2 linked regions of the Ovis aries genome follow. The protein of the gene in region 1 interacts with the protein of each later gene in a pairwise test. Links are inferred from orthologs where the notes say so. Each region holds a gene or a part of one and is shown in the gene's direction. Other genes may lie near its edges.

Region 1 (3,600 bases):
CCTCCCTCCCCATCCCTGCCCTAATCACATAACACGTAGCAGGTGTTCAACACTTGTCTATTACATAAATTCAGTGAGAAGGTAATGTGCCAAAAAAGACTTTTAAACCATGATCCACGGTAAAGCGAGGCAAGTAGGGCGTTTCTAAAAAGACTCTTCTTGAGAGTCTCTTGGACTGCAAGGAGATCAAACCAGTCAATCCTAAAGGAAGTCAACCCTGACTATTCACTGGAAGGACTGATGCTGAAGCTGAAGCTCCAATACTTTGGCCACCTGATGCGAAGAGTTGACTCATTGGAAAAGACCTTGATGCTGGGAAATATTGGGGGCAGGAGGAGAAGGGGGCGACAGAGGATGAGATGGTTGGATGGCATCACCGACTCAATGGATATGAGTCTGAGCAAACTCCAGGGGATGGTTTACGACAGGGAAGCCTGGAGTGCTCCTATTCACGGGGTCGCAAAGAGTCGGATACGACTGAGCGTATCTAAACAACATCAAGTTATGGGCAGCATTATCACCATCTTCTACCCCACAAAGAACCACAATGCACTGGAATGTTTTCCTCTGGAATTGCATTTCTACTCTTGTATTCAAAATTTTTTCCCACTTATGTTCAAAATTAAAAAATGACATCATTAAAAAAATAAATAAATAAACAACATCAAGGACCTCTAGGTTCCTCAGTAGGCGCTAGGACCCTGTCGGCCGACTCGTTAATCTTTACGCAGAGGGCTCCGCGCCTGTCTGGCCGGGAGCGACTGGGATCAGCTCCAGGGCGCCGCCTGCTGGGATTCTGCAGCCTCTGCAGCCCTTTCCGGGCGCCCCAGCTCCTGCCAGGTCTTGAGCCCGCCTCGCGTCTCCCATTGGCTGGCTCCTCTTCTCCCGCCCTTCCCGGGCTCAGCCACTCGGAACCCCGGCGTGGGTGGGGCTTGAGGCCTGGGATGGAGCGCGCTTCCCGATTGGCTCTGAGGAAGGCGGTGACGTGGCCCGAGAAGACCCATCTGTGCCTAACCCGAGGCTCAGCCAGAACAGCCCTGGATTAGTGGTAGGCGGGGCGTGTCCCGGTCGGAGGCCGGAAACGGAAGTGGAGGAAAGATGCAGGTGGGGGAACAGCAGCTGGGGAAATGGGGGGCTGCCCTGGGGCCCCTGGGCTGAGTTCAGCCGGTCCTTTCCTGACATGCTTCCTCAGGCTCTCTCCGGGGGCGCCCTCCCCGGCCCGTTGTGCTGGCCCCACAGGGTGGCGGTTGGGGCGATGAAGTGAGCGCGCGAGCGGCTTGTCAGCTCGCAGCACTCACGCACCTTTCCCCGCCGTGTTTCCCGCCAGGACCATCAGCACGTGCCCATCGACATCCAGACCAGCAAGCTACTCGGTAGGAGGGGCGCCCCCGCTCACCTAGCTGTCAAGGGGAGACCTGGCCCCCTGGCCCTCTGTCACCAACAGCGGACCCGCCGACCACTCGCTCTGTTCTGTGCTCCCATCTGTGGCTGGACCTGCCTCAGTAAAAGGAGCGGGAAGGAACCATGCATAGAGTCTATACTTGACCTGTGTTTTCTATTTAAACGTATATAACATGTTGTCAGTCATGTATTTTAGGGACAGAGGAGAGTTGAAGGCTTGCCTTAAAGATGATCAGCTGCCGAATGGCAGATCTGAAGTTAGAACCTAAGTCTGTCAGGTTCCAGTATTGTATTACGCTGGAAAAAAAAACTTTCTTCCTTTTTATTTTTTCCTTTGACTTTAGGAGGAAAAGGCACGTAGGTCCAGTTGAAAAGAAAACCTTTTAATGGCCAGACCATCTCCCTGCTGTCTGTATCGCGTCTATATACCACCTCTCTAGTTCAGAGCCAGGGAAGGGCCTCTTCACTCTGACCCCTCTAGGGCAGTGCACAGCTCCTGGATTTTTAAATGGTCTTTGAATTAATTGTTTTGATGCCAGTTGTGTCATTAAGATGACATCTGTTTGACTGTGTCGTCCCTTTGCTTCCACTTCTGTGACATCTACATAATTTTTGTTTTTGGAGATTTTAGTGGAGTGCAGCAATGGGGATATAACTGATAACTAGTGTGGGCTCCCAGCATTTGACCAGTTAGCAGATTTCTTAACAAGGGCAAGGTGGCCACTTAGTGGAGCGTCTTTAACTTCATTTTGGATTTGTCCCAGCTCTTCAGGACCTGTACACTCTTGATGTATATGCTTGTTATTGGTCCTGAAAAGGACTGGTAAAAACCCAACCATTTATTGAGGGTTTATTCTATACCAAGTGCTGTTTTATGGGCTTAACATTATGAAAATGAAGACCACTACAATTCATTGAGCCCTTGCCATGCGCCAGGCATGATGTTCAGTGTTCTACCGTTTGTACTCAGTATATTTATCATGCCCATTTTACATGTAGAGAAACTGAGGCACAGAGAGGTTGAGAGACTTGCCCAAGAAAGTTGGTAATTAGAACCAGGACCAGCTGACCACAAAGTCTAGGTCTTAGCTCTCTCCTATGAGGAAATGTACATAGCTCTCATCCACCTATACCCTCAACTGAAAACAGATCTGGCCCAGAATCCAGGAGATCAGTCACACTGGTATCCATGTGTGCAGGATGGTGCTTCGCTGATAAGAGTAGACCAGTGTTATTTAGTCCTTAGGGGCTTTGCAGTTGTTCATTCATCTGGTATTTGGTGTAACCGACTTGTGTTTTTCATTGTCATGGTTAATCCCAGCCCTGAGAAAGTAGAAATTGAATGGCAGTAAGAAAGATATAATTATCCATGGAAGCAAAAATATCATGGAGAATTTAGAGTGGTCCAAAGTGTCACTTTGATGTCAGGACCAATTGAAAGCTTTCCTTTATCCTGTGTTGAGGCAGTTACTTTATAAAGTCACATTGTGGATAAAGTTAGGTTGCTGGAATCTGTTTAGCCCCAAGCATCCCTTTGAGCCTGTCTTCATTCCCATCTTCCCGTGACCCCCACACCTTAACCAATATGAGTACAACTTTTAGCCAATGCCTTAGCATATTTCACTTGAATCAGTGATGCAGTTTTGGCCATGGGAATGCTATGATTTGGGTTTCTGCTATAGACTGGCTGGTAGATAGAAGGCACTGCAACCTGAAATGGCAGAGTCTAGTATTGACCATCCGAGAGAAGATCAATGCCGCCATCCAGGACATGCCAGAGAGCCAAGAGATCGCCCAGCTGCTCTCTGGATCCTGTGAGTGCTTCGGGGCTGCATTACTGGACCCCCGTCTTTCTTGGGGTGGTATAAATCTGCTGAGCTGTTCCTCTTTCTTTAGTCATAGGACTGACCTCTAAAGAAAGAGAGGCTTTTATTTGGGGTATAGAGGCTGGTTTATTTCAACACAAAATGATGAAGGGGAGAGCTGTGCCCTCTAAAGTTACTGGCATATACATGAGTCAGCCATATGCGGAGGCTGCAGTGGTGGGTTAGAGACTATTATTTCCAAAGTCTTTGTTTTTCTTTGCTTTCCAGACATTCACTACTTCCACTGCCTAAGAATTGTGGAGCTTCTCAAAGGCACTGAAGCCTCCACAAAAAATATTTTCGGCCGGTACTCTTCACAGCGAATGAAGGCAAG
Region 2 (4,120 bases), on another chromosome or scaffold:
GAGACATTACTTTGCCGACAAATGTCCGTCTAGTCAAAGCTATGGTTCTTCCAGTAGTCATTACGGATGTGAGTGTTGGACCATAAAGAAAGCTGAGTGCCGAAGAATTGATGCTTTTGAACTGTGGTCGTGGTGAGGACTCTTGAGAATCCCTTGGACTGCAAGAAGATCGAATCAGTCAATCCTAAAGGAAATCAGTCCTAACAGTCATTGGACGAACTGATGCTGAAGCTGAAACTCCAATACTTTGGCCAACTGATGAAAAGAATGGACTCATCAGAAAAGACCCTGATGCTGGGCAAGGTGAGGGCAGGAGGAGAAGGGGACGACAGAGGATGAGATAGTTGGATGGCATTACCAGCTCGATGGATATGAGTTTGAGTAAGCTCTAGGAGTTGGCGATGGACAGGGAAGCCTGGCGTGCTACTGTCCATGGGGTCCCAAAGAGTCGGACAGGGCTGAGTCACTGAACTGAACTGACTGAAGTGAATAGGTTAAATTTTAGCAATTAAAATCCCCTTTGATTACGTTTTTCCCAGTATTGCGCAAAGGCTGAATTTGCTCTCTTACACCTGCGTAGGTCACTTCTAAGTAATACATTTTGCTACTTACAGAGAAAATATTGTCCAATTGCTTCAGAGATGTTTGCCAAACTACATAAACTTTGAAATGTGTAAGCCTACTGGAATAATCTTTTATTTTGTCTTTTTTAGCATGAGAGGAATTTTCCTTTTTAGCTGCTCCGAATTTTAAAAAATCATCTCAAGTATTTTTAAAAAGCAGTTTAGGTACCTTAGAAGTTTATTCAATCTTAGAAATCCACATTAACACACAGTTCTCACTTGCTTGAGTTTGTCTACGTCCATTTCTGTAAGCCAACTCTTCCAGACTAATAAAATTCATAATATTTTTAAACAAAATCAAATACACTTAACTGACATGCAGAATCAGAAGGCTCAGCGAACTCTCGCGCGATTTTAAGACGCTACCGCCAGACGTCACAGGTTGCCATAGCAGCCATCCTCCGGAGTGGAAAAGAAGGGTGGTGCGAGGGGCGGATCGCTGCTGCTTCTGCTGCTGCTGCTGCTGCGGAGGACCGCGGTCGGTCTCCTGCAGGTCTGACTTCTGCCAAAATGAGCGGCCTGGATGAGGGCGACAGCTTCCCTATCGCTAAATCCTGCAGCCCCGCTACTCCCGACCATGCCCCGGGACATCCGGACCTCAAGCAGTGTCAGGGCGAGGAAACCGAGGCGACCTCGGTGATGGCGGACACAGGTGAGGGCGGCTTGGAGACTGCCGCAGAGGGAGGCGCGGCCCAGGACCCCGCGGTCTGTGGCCTTGCGCTCCGCATTCGAGTTGCTGGGAGTCGCGGCCGCGTAGCGACCAAAGCGGGCCAGAAAGAGGCTCCGGCTTCCACGGAGGGCCTGGAAGCAGCCTCTGCCTCTACCTCGGTGGGAGCCGACAATAGCCAGGAAAATGGCTGTCAGCGTAGAGAGCTACGCAGCCCTGCAATCGAGAAGGCTCTAGAAGCCTGTGGCGCAGGGAGCTTGGGGGCTCAGATGTTGCCTAGAGCGAAGGCCAAGGAAATGACGAAAAAGTGCGCTGTTTCTGCGGCAGGGGAAAAGGAGGGAGTAACAGAGGCGGTGGTAGAGGGAAAGAAGGTTATGCAGAAGGAAAAAAAGGTGGTAGGAGGCGCGAAAGAGGAGACCCGGGCCAGAGCCCCGAAGATCAATAACTGCATGGATTCGCTGGAGGCCATCGATCAGGAACTGTCAAATGTAAATGCCCAGGCTGACAGAGCTTTCCTTCAGCTGGAGCGCAAGTTTGGCCGTATGCGGAGGCTGCATATGCAGCGCAGAAGTTTCATTATCCAGAATATCCCAGGTTTCTGGGTCACTGCCTTTCGCAACCACCCGCAGCTGTCACCTATGATCAGTGGCCAAGATGAAGACATGATGAGGTACATGATCAATTTGGAAGTGGAGGAGCTTAAACACCCCAGAGCAGGCTGCAAATTCAAGTTCATCTTTCAGAGCAACCCCTACTTCCGAAACGAGGGGCTTGTCAAGGAGTATGAGCGCAGATCCTCTGGCCGGGTGGTGTCTCTTTCCACTCCAATCCGCTGGCACAGGGGCCAAGACCCCCAGTCCCATATCCACAGGAACCGGGAAGGCAACACTATTCCCAGTTTCTTCAACTGGTTCTCAGACCACAGCCTCTTAGAATTCGACAGGATTGCCGAGATTATCAAAGCAGAACTGTGGCCCAATCCCCTCCAATACTACCTGATGGGTGATGGGCCCCGCAGAGGATTTCGAGACCCAGCAAGGCAGCCAGTGGAGAGTTCCAGGACCTTCAGGTTCCAGTCCGGCTAACTCCTGCCCTATGAGAGAAGCTCCTGCACAAGTTCCCCTACCACCCACCTCCTCTCAGACCCGTGCTTAGCCAACAGCATGCTGTCCTCCCTGTACTTTCTTCACACTGGATTATTTTGTCCTTTGATCCTTCTAAATTCTCAAAACTCAGTGGCAAGATGGTTGCTTATATGCCAATGCTCTCCTTCTTCTGGGCCTTCCTGCTCTTCTGCATCCTGTTCCACTGTTCCAAGTGCATGGCCTTCCACTGCTTCTGTGCCAAGCACATAATACTGTAGATACCCACTGCCTTCTTTTGCATGCTCTGGGCCCTGACTGTAGCCTTCTCCCAGTTTTTAAAGCGGTTATCTACCACGAAAAAGCTTGATATACTTTTGCAGCTACTTAGCTGGGCTTCATACTTTGTGCTGACTGTCCTGATACCCATGTACTCTGTGGCCAAATCTTTGAGTTTCACTGCTGCAAGATGAAGCTGATAGAGATGATGCCAGCCATCACCTAAACTGAACATTCCAGGCTACCAGTAACTGGTTTTCAACTGTCTTCCTGGGTCCATGCCATCTACCCTGCTGGTTATTTTGCAGAATAAGCAGCTGACTGGTGGGTGGTTACTAGGCATGAATGAGGTAACAAATGAGAAGTGTTCTGTGTTATGTTGATCTTATGCCTTTGGTCACTCTGCATTGTGACCAGGTGGTGGTGAGTATGAAGCCCTGTGATACGGCCCACCCAAACCTGCTCTCAGCTTTCTGGATGAGATTTGCACAGGCACCATTCCCTGCCTCTTTAGGAACTATCTGGAGACTTAAGCTCCTGGATAGCCCACAGGAACCATCCCCCGCTCGACCCCCACCCCCTGCTTGCCAAATGGTTATCTGGAAACTGCTTGGCTGTCAGGCAGGATGGGCAGTCATAGTATCACAGTGTCTAAAGCAAAGCTGGTGGGAGGTCCTTTCCAGCAGTTAGCCTTTTTGAGCTCTAGCCAACAAACCACCATTAATCTAGATGTCCCCCTTCTGCACCCATTCTAAACATGACAAAGTTGCCAAGATGGGGACACCAAGGAAGAGGTATTTCTGGTCTGTAGGGCCTGTTATGTATCTTTCTCTCTCTCACTTTCCTGCTTTCCTCCTTTTCTCTTCCTCATCCTCCTTCTCATAAACAGTTACAGCTGAGAAAACAAACTGGCAAAGCAGGCTTTTTACTTTGCTTTCCCTTTGTGTCCAGAAAGATACCGTGCACTGGACTCCAGCTTTCTTACTGCCCTCTTCTGCCCTCATGTGTCCACCCCACTTCCTTTAGTAAAGTCTAAACATTTCAAAGGGAACTCTGTAGGGTGAATTGCCTGCTTATGGACATTGTTCGTTGGGGCCCAGTTTGACAGCCCCGTACTCTTCCTTATCCATTACCCAAAACCTGTGTGTTTTTTTGAGCCTTAGCTTAAGAAGCTGAGGGGAGATCACAGAAGGGCTTCACGACAGACCCAGAGCAGGCTGTGATCCAAGGTAATAAGAATTTGGTTTCACTCCACCTTTCTAAGCTTGGAAGCTTTTTGAGGGGCCTCGTATCACTTAGAAATAACCAAGGCAGCATTTCGAGGGTCACTCCTGTTCTCTGTATTGTTTTTTCCCCTGAATTCCCATGGGCCTGCATCCTACCACCCTGGCATTCTTGGCTCTCAGTCCACAGCTTCTGCATTTCCTTCCCTGCTTCTGACCTAGTAAATGAGGGAACAGGCTGCAGTC

The links.
Region 2: the proteins of CDK5RAP3 (region 1) and TSPYL4 interact in binary tests that used the Homo sapiens proteins (3 or more experiments, as listed by UniProt). The two-hybrid records come from large-scale screens. The link is inferred for Ovis aries from reciprocal best matches to the Homo sapiens genes CDK5RAP3 and TSPYL4.

The regions. Positions count from the first base shown.
Region 1 is NC_056064.1:38,227,654-38,231,253, reverse strand, and holds the start of CDK5RAP3 (CDK5 regulatory subunit-associated protein 3), read left to right. Parts: upstream 1-1,077; 5' UTR 1,078-1,098; coding exon 1,099-1,104; intron 1,105-1,327; coding exon 1,328-1,373; intron 1,374-1,745; exon of another isoform or gene 1,746-1,787; coding exon of another isoform or gene 1,788-1,809; intron 1,810-3,083; coding exon 3,084-3,215; intron 3,216-3,494; coding exon 3,495-3,595; intron 3,596-3,600. UniProt on the Homo sapiens protein: Substrate adapter of E3 ligase complexes mediating ufmylation, the covalent attachment of the ubiquitin-like modifier UFM1 to substrate proteins, and which is involved in various processes, such as ribosome recycling and reticulophagy (also called ER-phagy).
Region 2 is NC_056061.1:21,674,421-21,678,540, forward strand, and holds the start of TSPYL4 (testis-specific Y-encoded-like protein 4), read left to right. Parts: upstream 1-1,027; 5' UTR 1,028-1,133; coding exon 1,134-2,375; 3' UTR 2,376-4,120.